Linked DNA regions of Bombyx mori. The main gene of each other region encodes a partner of the protein of the gene in region 3 in a complex. Links are inferred from orthologs where the notes say so. Each region holds a gene or a part of one and is shown on either strand. Other genes may lie near its edges. The genes, in order: trafficking protein particle complex subunit 12, trafficking protein particle complex subunit 11 and trafficking protein particle complex subunit 8.

Region 1 (5,854 bases), on a different chromosome or scaffold from region 3:
CGAGTCTGAATATAGCCGCAGGTGAACTTTCCAAACCGTACCGAGAATTACCGAATTTATACGATGTCAAGAAAAGTGATGTCCCATATGCGTGTTTGAGGATGTTGTTTCATCGACTTTTTTTTCAATTTTATTAAAATATAAATAAAAAAAAACATTAATAAAAATAAAGTATAACTTCTTACGCGCGTACATAAGTACATGCATTCTTTTTTTCCCTACCCAAGCTGATAGATAACCTTGAGAGGCTATTTCAGCGTAACCTTAACTAGTAGGTGAGCTCACGGGGCTCAAACCTGATGACGTTGCTAACACGAACCCTAGCAAGAGCCGTGCTTCGCAGAATCTACCACCGGATCGGAAACGCGACCCACTGAGAAGATCCGGCGAGAAACTCAGTGGGCTGTGTCTGTGGGTTAATTTACTAGGTTGAGGTACCTAAAAGCACCGTTAGTAGATCGGGAGGATCCGAAACGACGTGTTTTGGGCGACGTCGACTGCTTTCCATTCTGTCCGCAGGATCGGGAATGCAAGGACTACTACAGTGTGGCAACAGTGAAGCAATCACTCAAGTAACATGTTCACGGGTGCTCACGAACGGTAGAGTTTAAGAACGAGCCGCACCATAATGTTCGTGGGTTCCTGGTCGGCCGCCCTCACGAAGTCGTTGTAGGCGTCTTCGTACTTCCCCTGAGCCATCGCCACCAGCCCGAGGTCCACGTACTCGCGCACGTCGGGCGTCGGACATCTGCAGACATCGCAACCCACCATCAGCGTGACCCCGCCACCCCGGAGAGTCCATACACATCAATTACTGGTGATAGGACCTCTTGCGAGTCCGTGCGGCTAGGTACCACCACCCCGCCTATTTCTGCCGTGAAGCAGTGATTTCGGTTTGAAGGGCGGAGCAGCCGTTGCAACTATACTGAGACCTTAGAACTTATATCTCAAGATGTCTATGGCCTCCATTAACCACTTAACACCAGGTGAGCTGTGAGCTCGTCTACCCATCTAATCAATAAATAAAAAAACATGACGAGACGGTCAGTCTTAATATCAAATCGGAACGCACGTCGGCTTCGCGGCAGAGATAGGCAGCGTGGACGTACCTACCCGCGCGAACCAATAAATAACAACAGAAAGTAAAGTACAATTAGTGTTTGTCTATATGTTCCGGGCATGACGTGGGAGGAGTTAGAACAGACTGCCCAAGACCGATACAAATGGAAAAATTTGATTCGAGCCCTACACCCCAGCAGAGGGTAATAGGAAAGCATGATGATGATGATATGTTCCGGGTGGTCAGAGATGCTATGTTTATGGGTTCCTGTAACCGCTTTACAGCATGAGGACTGTGAGCTTGATCACATCTCTATGCAATAAAAAATATTTTTTTTTTAGAAAAAACAATTACGTGACCATATATTATGTGAGATTAAGTAAATAACAGTCTTTTGGAAAAGTAGCAAAATTTCATAAATTAGCACACGTCGTAAAACGTTCATACCTCTAATGCCCGATCGCCATCTTGAACTTCTCTCTTCCGTCCCTTTCTTCCTCATACATTCATCCCTTTCACTCTAAACGTTCCGTTTCCCACATATATCGTCTTCTCGCATTAAAACAGTATAATCTCAAAACTTACTAAATTTTACAGGAGAGTGTTTTAAAGGTTTAACATGTGATATTTTTATAATAATATTAATCATCTTTGCAACATATATTTTTTAGTTTTTACAAGTTACATTATCTGTCTTTTAAAGTAAGATAAGATTATGTATTAATTTTGTTAGTTGTAGTAAAAATATAGATAAACTAAAAAAAAAAAATTAAACTAAACTACGTTCTTTTGACAATATTTATGAGAAAAATACTGGTGGTGATACCAAATGATTCCCCATATTAACTCAATTTCGAATATTTTTTGAAATTGTACACTTATAATGCGAAAAGACGGTATATGTTATTAGCTCATCGTTGACTGGCCACAAATGACGTCACACATGCCGATGTTGCATTCGGCCGCATTTAACGTTACGATTAACAGTAGCGGGTACTACTGACACGTGCGTCCGGTTCTCGGTGGCGCGGCGGCAGTGCGCACGTGCGGCCGTCACGTGCCCGGCCAGCAGCGCGAGGCGGCATAGCGCGCTGCACACGGCTCGCTTCTGACCGGCCGTGCTGCACGCCTGTTCCAACGAGGACAGCACGTTGGAAGCGTGCCTGTAATCCTGATAAATTCGATTTTTGAAGTGAAACTTCTAACGCGACTTCCAACAAGCTTGCGTTAAACGTTTAACGCCATCATAGAATAGAAAGAGACAGAGTGAGAGTGTTTGTTCCAACGACGACAGCACGTTGGAAGCGTGCTTGTAATCCTAATAAAAAATTCGATTTTCGAAGTGAAACTTCTAATGCGACTTCCAACAAGGTTGCGTTAAACGTTCAACGCTCCTGGGGAGGGGGAATAGAAAGAGACAGAGCGAGAGTGAATGCGCGTAGTATACCTGGTACAGGCCAGCGCGAGCGTTAGCAACGAGTAGCGTCCAATGTTTTAATGAAGTATTTAAAAAAAAGATTTATATATTTTTCTATCTATAATTTAAAATATATATAACATAAATGTTGAAGATGTCGCATCTCTTATACACAGCATTCCCTATTACAAGAGCAATCTGATTTAAGGATGAAAAATGAAGAAAATTACAATACTACACATCGAAAAAGAAGTTTCACTTCATTCACGTGCACCAGGTTGCACGCGCACAATTTTTTTTATTGCTTAAATGTTGCTCACGGCCACCAGGTGTTAAATGGTTACCAGGGTCCATAGACATCTACAACGTAAATGCCGCCACCCGCCTTGAGATATAAGTTCTAAGGTCTCAGTATAGTTACAACGGCTGCCCTACCCTTCAAACCAGGGACCATAGACAGGGTGGTGGTACATACCCGTGCGGACTCACAAGATGCCCTACCACCAGTAAAATTCCTGGTTTTTCAGTCTAAAATTCCATTTCCTTCTATACATTCCCAAATTCGAAGATGTTCTGAAAATCACCGCAGACTGGAGGTCAAGACGCTCCATTCACTTCGGTGCATTCGCCTCGGTGTTCGAGTCCCGCGTCGGCTAACGTTTTTTCGGTTTTTTCCCAAAACATAAATTACCTTCAGGGCTATAGCGCAGTTGACGATCGAATGATACACCCTCGTCTCCCTCCCCATCCACAAACGTATCGACTCCGCCTTATCCTGCTCCGACGAGAGGAGACCAGAGCCGTCCTCGGTCTTTCCGTCGCGGAGATTCGACAGCATCTGAATAAAGATTTTTTTTTTCCTACCTAAGCTGAGAGCCTTGAGAGGCTATTCCAGCGTAACCCTAACTAGTAGGTGAGCTCACGGGGCTCAAACCTGATGACGTTGCTAACACGAACCCTAGCAAGAGCCGTGCTTCGCAGAATCTACCACCGGATCGGAAACGCGACCCACTGAGAAGATCCGACGAGAAACTCAGTGGGCTGTGTCTGAGAGTTTTTTACTCGTCGAGCCCTTCGTCGCAAGCGACGGGTTCGACGAGAACGGTGACCGGTGCTTGAAGTACCTAAAAGCACCGTTAGTGGATCGGGAGGATCCGAGATGACGTGTTTTGGGCGACGTCGACTGCTTTCCATTCTGTCCGCAGGATCGGGAATGTAGTTACCGGCGGCCACGATGAGAGGGTTCTCGTGTCGTGCCGCTTTATCGAAGTGGCGCATGGACGCCGACTGCAGATACTTACTGATGGACTCTAAGTCCAGGTCGTCATGGAGGTCGACGTTCCTGACGAACCACGGGGCTCCGACGGCTATCCTGCAAAAACGGGATTGAATAATTTGGAAGGATTTTAAGTGAGTGCGGGCCGCGTGAGCGAACACTACACTTGCATAGGTCATGACGGGGCGTATGCAAGTTTTGTAGAGTGTCACCTTATTTCTAAGGGACATTTTACTTCGCCTACATATCATCGGGTAGAAATAAAGAAAGGCATTAACTTGGGTTTTTATCCTGTGATATATATGTCATAAGTTTGCATAAGCACTACGAAACAATACTTGATCTGAAGAAGGTTAAAACACACGTCATTACGGATCCTCCCGATCCATTAACGGTGCTTTTAGGTACCACAAGCACCAGTCACCGTCCAAAGTAAATTAACCCACAGACACAGCCCACTTATTAGTTAGTATTAGAAACGTCGTCAGGTTTGAGCCCCGTAAGCTCACCTACACGTCAAAGAGAGAAGCTGAAATAGCCTCTCAAGGTTATCAGCATAGGTAGGGAAAAAAAAGTTACAACATTAATTGTAACAATAAATATTGTTACAATATTTAAAGCATTAGATAAAAACCTGAATCGCGATAACGACATTTACAATTTGCTTGTATAAATACAAGTTCCGAGCGCCTTACGAACGTCAACTGTCAAGCAATGACAGAAGAATATGAATGATCTCAATGATCTTACCTTTGTTAATATTCCAATATAGCGGATTCTCCTCATGTTCACGTTGTGATGACCGTGGACCACATTTACCAATCGGCACAGAGTTTTGACTGCAAGCTTTATCAACACCAGAGCACCAAAAGCTACGAAACCACGACCATCATAAAAACCAACCTGCTGTATAATATCGAGCATCGCGTATAGTCTGTCCATGGACTCGTCCGGCTTGCCCACGTGCCCCGGTATCTCGGCCAGGAGTAGCCTCAGCGAGAAAGGAACGAGGGATCCCGGACGGTTCTCGTAAGACTCCGGGTAGAACTGAAATAAAATTGACCGCATTTTATGCACACGGTTATGATCAGGCTGGGGGTCAAGGGCCAAATACTCGGTAGCCTGGTTTTTACTGGTGGTAGGACCTCTTGTGAGTCCGCGCGGGTAGGCACCACCATCCTGCCTATTTCTGCCGTGAAGCAATAATGCGTTTCGGTTTGAAGGGTGCCGTTGTAACTGTACTGAGACCTTAAAACTTATATCTCAAGATGGATGGCGCATTTACGTTGTAAATGTCTATGGGCTCCGGTAACCACTTAACACCAGGGGGCTGTGAGCTCGTCCACCCATCTAAACAATAAAAAAATCCATGGACTTCAGCAATGCCAAGCTTAGAGCTTAGAGCTTGCTCAAATGGTAATAAATTCTCTGGTGTCCACATTTCGAATTACCTGGTAAAACATGTCGGGTTTGGTGCAGTCGCCGAACTGCTCCGCCTCCCTGATCAGGGGTTCATGTAGCTTGATCCTCAGCATCAGGGAGAACCTCGTCAACCAGAGCTGGAGGGAGCGCGGCGTGTGCTTCGTGGGTCTGTGCATCCGTCCCACGCCTGAGGGACAAGGTGAGATGTGAAGTGAAAGGCTTAATTACTATTGTCATCGCTAGATGGTGCTGCCTGATTCCCAACACGCGCTAACGTCAATTGTTTTTCGTTCGTATTTATAGCATCCATCTCAAAAAATTATCCGAGGTTACAACGTAGATTTCCTATGGAGTTTTTCAAGTGAGGGTCACGATCTGTCGACGGTTCGTGACCCAACGGAGTGAGACAAGTGCCAGGCAGGCAAGTAATGGTATGTTAGCCATTGGCCTATTCCGATTTCCGATCACGAATTCGGTCCTTGAGTCGATCAGTCAGTCTCAAATGGAGATAGGACGCGTAATGAATTTACTAGCATCCTTATTGCATAGATACTAGATAGGCACGAGCTCACAGTCCGCCTAGAGTTAGCTGGTATAGTAACTACCTTAATAGCTGGCACCCGCCCCTTCGGGCATACGCACATGAGAGAAGCTTCCTCCGGTCTCAATAAAATTATTT
Region 2 (6,595 bases), on a different chromosome or scaffold from region 3:
TCACACCGATCACTTGGACACCTGAGCTCGAAGAATGCTTTAATGCCTGTAAAGATAGCTTGTCATCTGCAGCTCTGTTGGCACACCCTTTGCCTAACGCTGTACTAGGGCTTTTCACCGACGCTTCCAGTTCTCACGTTGGTGCCTGCCTTCAGCAGAAAGTCGATGATGCTTGGCAACCCCTGGGTTTCTTTAATAAAAAGCTGAACCCCCGACAGTGCCAGTGGCCAGCATACTACCGAGAACTTCTTGCGGTATATGAGAGTGTGCAACATTATCGACACTTCCTAGCCGCACAGCACGTAACGATTTATACGGACCATAAGCCATTAGTTTACGCGTTCTCGCAACGTCGCGAAAGGCTTCCTCCGGTACAGTTAAATCAACTGTCTTTTATTTCGCAGTTTACCACGGACATTGTCCATATAAAAGGGGTGGACAATACGGTGGCAGACGCCATGTCCCGCATCGAAGCTGTTAGTTTTGAAACTGACCATTCTGCTCTCTCCGCTTGCCAAAAACTTGACGACGAATTGAAAAAGTATCGTAACGATGCGAATTCTTCTCTAAAACTAGAGAACGTCGTAGTTCCTGGCACAAACACTGTTTTGGTCTGCGACATGTCAACAGGGCGACCACGCCCATTTGTATCGGAACCTATGCGAAAGAAGATTTTTGCTCAGCTACATAATCTTAGCCATCCTGGTACTAGATCAACCATTCGATTGATCTCAGACCGTTTCGTGTGGCCTGGCATTGCCAAAGATTGCCGTTATTGGTGCCAAACCTGCGTTGCTTGCCAGCGAAGTAAGGTGACGCGGCATATAAAATCTCCACTTGGACACTTCTCCAGTCCTACGTCTCGACTGAAGCATGTCCATATTGACATCATAGGCCCTCTTCCATCTTGTTCTGACTTCCAATACTGCCTGACTGCTGTGGATCGCTACACTCGATGGCCCGAAGTTTGGCCTATGCACGGAATAACAGCAGAAGAAGTGGCGAGCACCTTTGTAGCCGGTTGGATTGCTCGATTCGGAGTACCTGCTGTCATCACTACCGACCAGGGACGACAGTTCGAGTCGGACCTTTTCAGACGCCTTACTAATTTATGTGGTACTAAACGTATACGCACTACTAGTTACCACCCTTGTGCCAATGGGCTCGTGGAGCGCATGCATAGACAATTAAAGGCCTCTCTGATGTGTTATGATGATTCGTGGTTGAATGCATTACCTTTGGTCTTATTAGGAATGCGTTCAGCTTTTAAAGAAGATCTACAAGCAACAGTAGCGGAATTGCTTTACGGAGAAACATTAACGCTTCCAGGGGAACTGTTAGTACCTCCCGGTCCTTCTGGTTTCGAGGACCCGACGGATTTTGTCGTAAAGTTAAGACAGCGTATGTCTAAATTGCGTCCCACTCCATGTTCCTCACACACTAAACCATCACCTTTCATATTTAAAAATCTTTCCACCGCCTCTCATGTCATGCTCAGGGAGGATTCGGTTAGACGTTCAATGCAACCACCTTACTCTGGTCCTCATAGAGTTATATCTAGAGCCGAGGACGGAAAAACGTGGTCGATTGATGTAAAAGGGAAACAGGTGACGGTCAGTGTCGACAGAATTAAGCCAGCTTTCGTCGAGCATTCTTTAGTAGATCTCGTTCCAGCCCCAGCACCGCGGGTTTCTGTGCCTCAACCAGCGCAACCGGATGCTACTAATGTCCCTTCATGTCCACTCGTGCCTTCGGCACCTCTAACTGCTACTCCTACACATACACCTCAATATACCACCCGGTCAGGTCGCAGAGTCCACTTCTCCAAACCTTTCGACCTATGATAATTTTTCTCTTTTTCTGCGGATTCTCCTTCTCCGTAGGGGGGTGGTGTGGCGTTTTATTATGCGTAAGCCGGAACGCACGAGATGTGGGAAAAAGGAGATAGTCTGTGCCACAATACCTTTTTTACCGCCAAATATGAAAAACATAAAAATAATTTATAATGAGTTAAATAACTAATTTAATGTAATTACTTTATGCCGCTACAACAATAAAATTAATATTGTTCCAACTGTGGTGTTAATTACATAAAACACAACCAGGCGAAATAAAGAAGGGACTCTATATGAGCTCCCTCAGGTACATTTTTTTCTATGGCTACTGCTATTTACGACTTACATACTAAATCTTTCTAAAACGTCAGACGTCAAAGCAAAGCTTTCAATTTTACTTTTGACATTACTCCCTGACGTTTTACGTTAAAAATTTGTGAAACGAATGATGGGGGTGTCACTGTCGTGTAGAAGAATCTGAATTTGTGTTCACCGTGATATTTGAGATGTTTAAAATAGTATTTAGAAGTTAAAGTGTGCTATACTACTGCATGATTAAGCTCATATAAAATGGCTACCCAGCCTAATGATTATACCGAATTCCCTACGGAGATCATTCTGAAACCTCTGGCTCTGATAGGACTATCTGGACTTGATGCAGTTAACAATGCCGTTCACAAAGAAATCTGGGACGCATTCGCGAATAACCGACGCGCTGATCGCACGCCTGTGAGATTCAAATTACTTAACAATACGTTTGAGTTTCCAGTGGTAAAGCCTAAGAGAAATTCATACGAATGGTACATACCTAAAGGCATACTAAAAAAAAACTGGATACACAAGCGTGTATCGCTAATACCCGCTGTCATAGTCATTTTCTATGATATGGATTGGAATGATACACAGTGGAATGAGAAAATTATAGAATGTGCATCCAAAGTCCAGTCTATCCGTGCTGCAGTAGAGGGACATGCTACTCGTGTGGCTGTAGTAGTCATACAAAGTCGGCAATCTCCTCCTCCTTCTGAGTACATGCTTGGAGCCGAGCGTGCCCAGGCACTTTGTGCTGCTTGTGAGATCCAGTCTAAATCCTTGTTTGTGCTTCCTCATGGTGATCACTTAATGGGTTATATAGTCCGGTTAGAAAATGCATTTTATGATATTGCACAAAATTATTACCACCATGAAGCAAAAAACATTAAGCAGCACAGAGACCACCTCAATAAAACAACACATCAGTATCTCTTTGTCAGACATCAGTTCAAACTGGGCTATCTGAATGAGTTGAAGCAGGACATCAATACTGCACATAAGCATTATGTTCATGCTTACAACAACCTGCTGGAAACAAGAACAGTAGATACAAACCTGCATGAAGTTAGAACAGTTGCTGGCTATATTAACTACAAACTGTGCAAGATACTTTTTGCATTAAATTTGCCAAGAGATGCAATTTCACAATTAAAATCTCACATTGAGAAATACAAAAGTAGAGTTGGTTCTACTGACCTACTGTTTGAACATTATGCGTGGCTAGCTAGACAGTACAGTGCCTTTGGAGAACTTTTTGATGAAGCTATCAGGGCTGGTCTGCCAGCCATTCAATCTCAGCATCCTGGGTTTTACTACCAGCATGCAGCTCAGTTTACTGTAAAAAGAAGACAGGCTATGCGCTCTCTTTGTGCTGAAGCATTACAGTATCCACCTGCTCCAGATCCTTTAGATGGTATTCTAGAATATTATGGTCAGCGACCTTGGAGACCTGGTCGTTTAAGTGCAGATCCTCATGACCCTCAAAAAGAACAGGCAGCTATCTTAGCTCTACAATACAATGAAAGGATATTCAATCATTCTACAATCATCATCAGCTTCCTTGGCAGTGCTATCTCACAGTTTAAGTCATTTCACTCTCCTAGAATGAGGAAGCAACTAGTAGTTGAAATGGCAAATGAATATTTTTATTCTGCTGACTATGGGAAAGCACTAACTTTGCTGACTCACATGTTGTGGGATTACAGGAGAGAAAAATGGTGGTATTTAGCTTCACATGTCTTGAACAGAGCTCTGCAGTGTGCATACCTTGCAGCAAAAATACAAGACTATTTACAGCTGTCAATTGAAGCACTCTCTAAAAATATCCAGGTGCCAAACAATGATAAAGATAGGATATTCAGAAATATAATGTCTGTTATACATTTAAACATTCCAGCTCCTGAACCCGACCTGCCATCCTCTTCTCAAAGCAAAGCTGTGGAATTGTGGCAGTCCATGATCGAAAAAGAGCCTTTGCAGGTTGCTGTGGATATGGCCAACATCTCCAGTTTTTTGGAAATCAAACCTAAATTCAAACAGATGAAATATAGAATGGATGAGTTAATTGAAGTGGAACTGTATGTTAGGCTAACATATCCAGCTGTCCTAGAAGTAAAGAAGGTGTATTTGACAATATCAAGTCAATCTGAGACTATTGAGATCCCAGTAACTGATGATATTAATCAGACCATAACATTAGAAGGGAGCAAAGTGAAAAGGTTTTTGTGTCAGTTCAAACCTAATCCCAAGGATGTTGGATCAGATTTACAGATAAAATGTGTATCTTTTGTTCTTGATTCTGAAAGGAAAAGAAAAATTATATTGAATTTTAAAACTGATGACAAGAAGTCAGAGTCAATTATACATCCAGAATTGTTACACTTCATCATGAGCCCTAAATCTGACTATGAATTTGATTGCATTGTGCCTTTGAGAGTAGCTTCAGTAACATCAAGAGAGTGTAAATGGTCCATTGAAGTTACAAATTGTAGTCCTGCTCTACAGGGAGAATGGTTTCCAACCACTTTCACAGTAACAAACAATGAGGAAATTGCTGTATCTAGTACAAAGATAGCATTATCTTTATTAAGTTCACCTGAAAATCCTAACCCTGAGTCAGTAACAGATTTAAGTTTGAAGGAAGGTGAAGCTCAGTTACAACCTTTACATATTTCTGTGGGCAATGTTAACAGATCAGGAACTCACACTAATACATTCTACTTAAAAACAAACAGAACAGCCACAATAACAGTTCAAATTAGAATATCATACATCATAGACCTTCCTGCAATCAAGAAACTAGAGTGCATGAAAGATTTTACATGTAAAATAACTGTCATCAAACCTTTTGAAGTAACCAGTGCATTTGTTAGTACAGACTTTAGTCCTATTTCTAAATGCTTTGTTGATGACCCCTTTATTGTCATGCCACAAATTAAAATTTTAAGTCCTTGGGATCTTTTAATAATTGACACAGAATTAGAGGTGGTCGATTCATTTAAAAATACAGACAAAACTAAGCCTATATCCTGCATCAGAAATCTAGAAGTGGCAGAGAAAAACATAGCTTCAGATGCAATTTGTATTCAAGCTAAATACAATCCTAAAGATAATCCAACTCGAGTTGGTTTGTACAACATAACTTGGCGACGGAAATCTAATCTTCATGGGCTCTGTGTGATGAGCAGCACTGCTTTATCAGGACTGCCTATAGATCAATGTCCTGTCTCAGTGAAAGTAGACTACCCTGCTGTAATAGAACTACTAACATCAGTTCCACTCAAATGTATTTTAAAAGGAAACACAAACACTCCAATAAGACTCAGTCTTGTAGTGAAATGGACAGATGACTATATATTTTCTGGATACAAGAAACTATCAGTAATGGTCCCACCCAAGGGACAAGTAGAGCTAAAATATAATATCCGTCCCTTATTTGCTGGTAACACAATGCCCCCTAGAATTACTGCAACAGTCATAGGTGATAATTCAAGTCAGGATGCAGTCAGTGAAATGTTTGAAAAAGCTTTCCCTGAAACTATTTTCGTTGTGCCTAAGTACAATAATTAAATCAGAATGTAAATTGCAATTACAATGTTGAGTTAATAACTGTATATAATTGAACAAATTTTTAGATCTAATAAAGTTACCTTATAATTAAAAATAAATAAATTTTGTTATTTGTTATAAATGAGTTTTTATTCAGAAATATAAGTAACAAAATTATTTTCTTGTATGAAATATTTATTACTTTTTTTTGTAACAAATTAATCTTTGCGAAGTTCAAATTTCTCTTCTTGAATACCACTTGCAGTGATGATGAGAATGTAGATGGAGTCTCCAGTGTAAATGTCACGTTCTGCAGCACTGATGAACACATCCTTCAGAAGAGCAAGGGCCTTTTCCCTAGGCAAAGGAGCTTCTGTTACATTCTGCATATTCTTTAAGCCAATTTGATTGTCGAGGAGCGGTTGCAGCTGTGCAGCAGCGGAACCACCAGCGCGGAAGTTATGGCGCGCACAGTGTCCGATAGGGTCGTAACTATATACACATCCCTTACCGTCGCTGTCCAAACCCGCCAACACGTTGGATACGTAGTATGGGAAAAATCGTTTGTAATACAACATAGTTGAGAGCATCTGTGCGACTGCCGGAGTGGTCATAGATTTGTTATGCTCGTGTTCGTACATCTGCATCCTCGCTTGTAGAAGACGCGTCAAGGTTAATGTGTCACACCAGCAGCCAGTCGCTCCCAATACTGTACTCTCAGATAATTTGAACAGCTTTTTTTGGTCTCTGGTATATATGGAAAATCCAGTGCTGAGACGAGTGTCTGCTCCGATAACGGCATAATCATCGCCGGCGATGGCTACAATACTACCTCCGTTGTCCGCGTAGGGCTCGAAACGATGCTGTTTCGCACCAGGCACAGCATATTCAGGAAAGTT
Region 3 (5,854 bases):
TCTTCACGATGACCAGGAACTTTGTTCCATCAATAAGTATGTTCAGTCGGCATCAGTACACCATTTCGAAAAAGCGGCGCAGCACGATAACTGTTGTGACCGCCGGTAACTGCATTCCCGATCCTGCGGACCGAACGGTAAACAGTTACCGTCGCCCTATACACGCTACTTCGGATCCTCCGGATCCACTATCGGTGCTTTTAGGGTCCCCCAAAAACCTGTCACCATTGTCGTCGAACCGGTCGTTTGCTAAATAACCTTCGTAATAACTCAATAAAATGTTTTATTATTTAAATTTCTGGCGGTTTCAATTTACCTGCAAGTATTAAGATATGTAACGATGCTTTCTTCTAAATATCCATGAGTTTTACGATTGGAATCACCAGCCATAAAAGCACTTATTGCGGCCATTTCGAGCGCACCCGCGTAACAGAGCCACGCGCTGTCCGCATAGAACTCTCTTTTGGCAGTGTGGTAGGTATCGAAAGCCCGCTGCCATTGCCCGCACAAAAACCAAAGATCGCCCAAACGTCGTAACTGTAGTTCGGGACAGTCATTTGTGTATCTAAAAAAGAAAAACACAAGTGATTAATAGTTAAAATATTTTTATATTTTTCCTCTTTTTTTCAGTCCACAGACATCTACTGCTAAAGATAGGCCCCCTCGTGATAAATACTTTAAAAAAATCAGTGAAATTAAAAACCAAAAATAAATAAGCTTCAAAGAAAATCGAGTACTTACACAACTGCACTATTTCCGGTAGCATTTCCACCTTTACCAGTGCCGAACCATCTTTTTGTAGCAGAGAGAAGCGATCTACTTACTCCTTTTCTGTTGGCTACCTAAATTAATATAACTATTTGTTTAGCATTTGTCGATTTGATTCTTGACTAGGCAACTGTTACTTAATTGTTTATAGTACTTTCGGACTTCCATAAACTTTAACCGGTTTAAAGAGCAGGGCAGCCGTTTCATTAATGTAATTAAGATCTTAATCTCATGCCTCAAGGTTTAAAACGGCATTCACGTTCTGGTGCCTGTGGACCCCAGAAGCAAGTCTGCACATCTTATGTGTAAAGTTACTATGTTCATATAATGAGTATTACTAAAGCTGCTTTTAAGTTAATTGAATTTCTTTGTAATTTATGGGATATAAGTTTGAATCCTTGCAAATAAATTCGAATATAAAGTTTCGCTTGAAATTCGTTCTTTAATAGATTATAGACCAACCACATCATTATCAACACCAACGACCTTTAACTACGGTTACCTTCATTCGCATATATAAAAATATGTTACAAGAATTTCCTGCATGATCAATAAATGATAGATTTTTTTTCTAGAATATTACTAAGGATAAAATATTATTGTTAGTACTGTGAACCTACTGATTCAGATAGCTGGGAGATTTGCTTTTCTATGTACGGCAGCAAGGCTTTTGATGCATATTCTTGAAGGAATTTTTTGATGGCCTCTATATCGTTGTTGTTTAAAGCAGCCCCATGAACTTCAGTAGACAAATCAATTCCTTTTGCGCTGACGCTAACACTCTCTACACTGCCAGAAAACGAATGGGTCTGAAACATTTTCGACGAATCAATTTAGGTGGATATTCAAAATAAGATAAACCTTTGAATAAAACTATATAAATAGGCAAAAAATTGAAGTTTTAGTACATTATTTCATCATTCATTATAATAATGTAAATGTAGTATAATAATATGTTATTTGAAATTTACTCTGCTATAGATCTGAAAATATTGTGCAAAATATGTTGGCATTTTGATTTCGACATAGGTAAAATAAGATAAACATATTAAGATTATAATCTTATAAAATTTTCCACCACACAATTTCACTGGTGGTAGGACCTCTTGTGAGTCCGGGTAGGTACCACCGCCCTGCCTATTTCTGCCGTGAAGCAATAATGCGTTTCGGTCTGAAGGGTAGGGCAACCGCTGTAACTGTACTGAAATCTTAGAACTTATATCTCAAGGTGGGTGGCGCATTTATGTTGTAGTTGTCTATGGGCTCCAGTAACCACTTAATACCAGGTGGGCTATGAGATCGTCCACCCATCTAAGCAATAAAAAAAAAAGTTCTATAAAAGATAAGCACTTCCTAATATTATAAACTTAAATAAAATAAATAGTAGGTATATTTTGTCTTTATGAGTTCCTATACCGTTCATCTAATTGTGGTGTAACTTAGTACCGTCACGGCCGGATTTAGAGGTATGGAGACCTCGGGGCAACAGAGGAACGGCGGCCCCTTGAGCCCCACATTATTTTCCAAACAAAATGAGCGATTTTTTTCAGTCGAATTTTCCAATAAATAATTTATTGTGAAACCACGTAGATTCCCTTAGTATTTAACAAACATACATAAATATAAACGGAGACAAGAGTTATCTGAAATTAAATTTTAGTGTTAACTTTAAGTAAAACAGAGAAAAAAAGTATATCGACGGAGAAAGAAAAGATGTTTACTAGTGTTTACTTGTCGGAATTTGAAAGATTTTTTTTCCAAAGTCTCTATTGCGGGGGCTCTCCGTTTGTGGAGGCCCCGGGACTTTCACCCCGGTTACCCTCCCTTAAATGCAGCCCTGAGTACAGTAGTTGTCGGTAGTTCTAAGAAGGTTATAGAATATCATAGTTCCATTAACGTACGACAGGGGGTGCGTGAATAATTTAACGATAGTCACGGCGGGGCGTGACTGGGTTCTACTAGTATTAATATTATAATAACTTTGTTTTTAACATGTCAACCGTCCATTGAATATATTTACTTTATTTAAGGATAAGAATTTTACTTTGCATTTTAGGATCTCCCCCTACCTGCAAACTGTTGGCATTGTCATAAACATCTGTTTCTGGGCTTGTCAGTGGGTGCACACTCTCTTGTACTGACCCTGTTAATGTGTCTTCACCTTAATAAAACGAGAGCATAATTGTTTCTATTAATTTGATATCTAATTAATAGCTGTTAGTATTGTGTATTGACATAGCAATCTTTTCAAATTTAAACTTTTCGTGTTAATCAAACGTAACTACTATCTGTATTTTGTAATAGAATTATGTTTCCTATAGGTAATTAATTTTAATCCAAAAACTATATTAATATATTTGTGATAGGTATGACAAAATTGTGATATTTTTTGGCTTAGTCGTCATCCGTGACTACGAAAACTGGAAAAGTAAGAAATAATTTTACGACGATAAAAAACGCGAGTTTAAACCGTAGAGGTGGCTCTAATTATGTCTATGACTCACGAAAGGCTCAGCAAATACTGTATTTAAGCCTATTCAATATTTTCCAGATATAAATAAGCGAAACTGAAGCTACTTAAGATCACGTGACTAAAACACTTAGGAGTGTGCCTAGGGCGAGTTTTTTAACGTTTGCCGCTAGGGGCGCTGTTCCAACTCCATACATTGTATATTTGAGTTAACTTTTACGCTATCGAGAACGTTAAAAACTAGCACTAAGTGCACAGAGCACGCGGCGTCACGTTTTGTAGATTTGAAACACCTACAACTTAGACATAAAAACTTATAACCCTAACATTAACCTTAACAAAAAATCGGACAGTTTTAAAAATCGTGCCGTCAACGACAACAACAACCGATTTAAAGGTTGGCTGCGCAAAGAAATATTTGGGAAATAAAATTTACAACTTGTTTGTAATGATTACTATATCTTTGTGTAGTGATATGCTCAAAATTTAAAATCAACACTAACCTCTTTCAATAATGTTTTGAGATGGAAATATAGGGGCTTGTTCTGCTGGCGTTGTTGCTAAATTCGAGAAGATAGAAGCTACGTCACTCTGAAATCGAATACGTAAAGTATACGCAATATACATAATTAACCAAATTACCATGAAATTAATTATATTAATGCTATTATACTGGTAAATCGGTTCAGAAGCTATAACCCTTTTTTTGCATGTTTCGTTTCTACCTCATATCTTAAGGTGGGTGATAGCATTCTCGTTTTGATGTCCTCGGATAACCACTTTCGGATAACCTTGGATAACCACTTTACACCACGTGAGCTGTGAGCTGTTTCATTCAGCTACGCAATGAATAAAGCCGTAACAGTTTGTTTGTAACGCGTTACGCATCGTACCTCTACGATGCAGAAATATATAGACACAGTGCGTCCCTACTTTCCTTTACCTAAGATGAAAACTATGCGCACATTATGCTAGACTGTCGTAAAAGTGAAACTGGGCTTTTTAAGATGACACCTTGCTCACGCTAGGTTGGTTTTGTTACATTAAATAAAGAAAACTATTCTAATATTTTTGTTATAGTATTAAGAAGCTATATTGTCTTTGCATTTAATTCAAATTTATAATTTATATTTGCATTTACCACGTTTCTTTTTGAATATTATAATTTTGTCACACCTAATTCTCATTTATTTGGACACTTTATTTTAATCTAGATAAATAGTAATTTAATTATGTTTTTATTGCCCTGATAGGCAAACGGCCAGACAGCCCATCTGATGATGAGTGGTTACTGTGGCTTATGGACGTTAGCAATCCCAGGGGAAAACCCATGTCACTGCCTACCAAAAATTTTAATTAGTTTCATTCTGTCATAGAAAAATTTACATACGGTGGAATCTGGAGATCTCTTAATATACTGGCTCCATAAATCTGCAGGTACATTAGCATCTGACGTACTTTTAGAATTAATGGGAAGCATAAAACAACTATTAGGTCCAAAAGCATGTTTCAACGTGTCAAACACAGCATCAGCCCTTTAACATAAATAAAATACAATGGCATTAACTTAAATAATTTTCGATATTATGTTTTTTTTTTTATTGCTTTTGTAGGCAGACGGGCATACGGCTGATGGTGAGTGGTTACCGTCGCCCATGGACTTCAGCAATGCCAGGGGCAGAGCCAAGCCGCTGCCTACCGAAACACCTATGTCACATTCCAGCGGCGGAATTCACATTGTGGTGGATTTCAGTAAGAACCTAACATCAGTTGAGCCGCACTCTCATCTGACCATCTATATTATTGACGGAAATAAAGAACATACCTTTCTTTTGAAACAACAGATACATCATGAAGTAGTAAATATGTTTTCAGAATACAATTGTTGAACCATTTAGGCAATTTTGGTGGCATTACATTCTGTAGTTGGGCATATTGTTGATTCAGGCCATTGAAAGTGTCCACAACATTTTCGTCATCAGTTGTTCCCACAATAATACATGACAGGAAATGTTTTGTGAATTCATGGTCAGATGGAAATTGCACATCTAGGTATGTTTCCCTCCAAGCATCAAACCAATGTGTTGATTGGGGTATTAAAAAACTTCGACCAGCTAAAATATGTGTTAAAAAAATATTATTTTTCATTGTTATTTTAATGTTTTTCAACAAAATCAAAACACTCTTCAATTGCTAAACTAAGCATAATTCATCACCCATAGACAAATACTATAAAATCTACTTAAAATATTGATTTTAAAATTAAATTGCATTTTGATACTTATATACACATAAATATGTAGGTATTTTTTAGAATTGCATGGTTTATTTATTTTTGGTAAACTAACTACTGTTTAGAAGTTTCCACGGTTTGTAAGTTCCACAAGGTGAATTATCCTTTTGACATTCAAAATCAGTCCTTGCTGCATTGATGCAATGGGTGATTTACCCTTCAAACCAGAAAGGATGTTGGCTTTATATACAGAATTCATATCATTTAAGGAAAGAACAAAACGATAGGAAGCTGCTTAGAGTTTGCTGGCTCGTTTTGTGAGTCCTCTTGTGAGTCCGCACGGGTAGGTACCACCACCCTGCCTATTCTGCCGTGAAGCAGTA

Evidence for each region.
Region 1: trafficking protein particle complex subunit 8 (region 3) and trafficking protein particle complex subunit 12 share a complex: the UniProt entries of both Homo sapiens proteins name them as parts of the multisubunit TRAPP (transport protein particle) complex. The link is inferred for Bombyx mori from reciprocal best matches to the Homo sapiens genes TRAPPC8 and TRAPPC12.
Region 2: trafficking protein particle complex subunit 8 (region 3) and trafficking protein particle complex subunit 11 share a complex: the UniProt entries of both Homo sapiens proteins name them as parts of the multisubunit TRAPP (transport protein particle) complex. The link is inferred for Bombyx mori from reciprocal best matches to the Homo sapiens genes TRAPPC8 and TRAPPC11.

Annotation. Positions count from the first base shown.
Region 1 is NC_085126.1:10,492,341-10,498,194, forward strand, and holds part of trafficking protein particle complex subunit 12, read right to left. Parts: intron 5,363-5,854; coding exon 5,205-5,362; intron 4,801-5,204; coding exon 4,657-4,800; intron 3,316-4,656; coding exon 3,169-3,315; intron 2,232-3,168; coding exon 2,065-2,231; intron 749-2,064; coding exon 625-748; intron 1-624. UniProt on the Homo sapiens protein: Component of the TRAPP complex, which is involved in endoplasmic reticulum to Golgi apparatus trafficking at a very early stage.
Region 2 is NC_085125.1:14,659,539-14,666,133, forward strand, and holds trafficking protein particle complex subunit 11, read left to right. Parts: upstream 1-2,216; 5' UTR 2,217-2,405; coding exon 2,406-5,717; 3' UTR 5,718-5,838; downstream 5,839-6,595. Other genes in the region: proteasome beta subunit, read right to left, coding at 5,915-6,595. UniProt on the Homo sapiens protein: Involved in endoplasmic reticulum to Golgi apparatus trafficking at a very early stage.
Region 3 is NC_085111.1:9,717,425-9,723,278, reverse strand, and holds part of trafficking protein particle complex subunit 8, read right to left. Parts: intron 5,353-5,854; coding exon 5,064-5,352; intron 4,774-5,063; coding exon 4,629-4,773; intron 3,830-4,628; coding exon 3,742-3,829; intron 2,930-3,741; coding exon 2,838-2,929; intron 1,578-2,837; coding exon 1,389-1,577; intron 843-1,388; coding exon 742-842; intron 566-741; coding exon 317-565; intron 1-316. UniProt on the Homo sapiens protein: Plays a role in endoplasmic reticulum to Golgi apparatus trafficking at a very early stage. Maintains together with TBC1D14 the cycling pool of ATG9 required for initiation of autophagy. Involved in collagen secretion.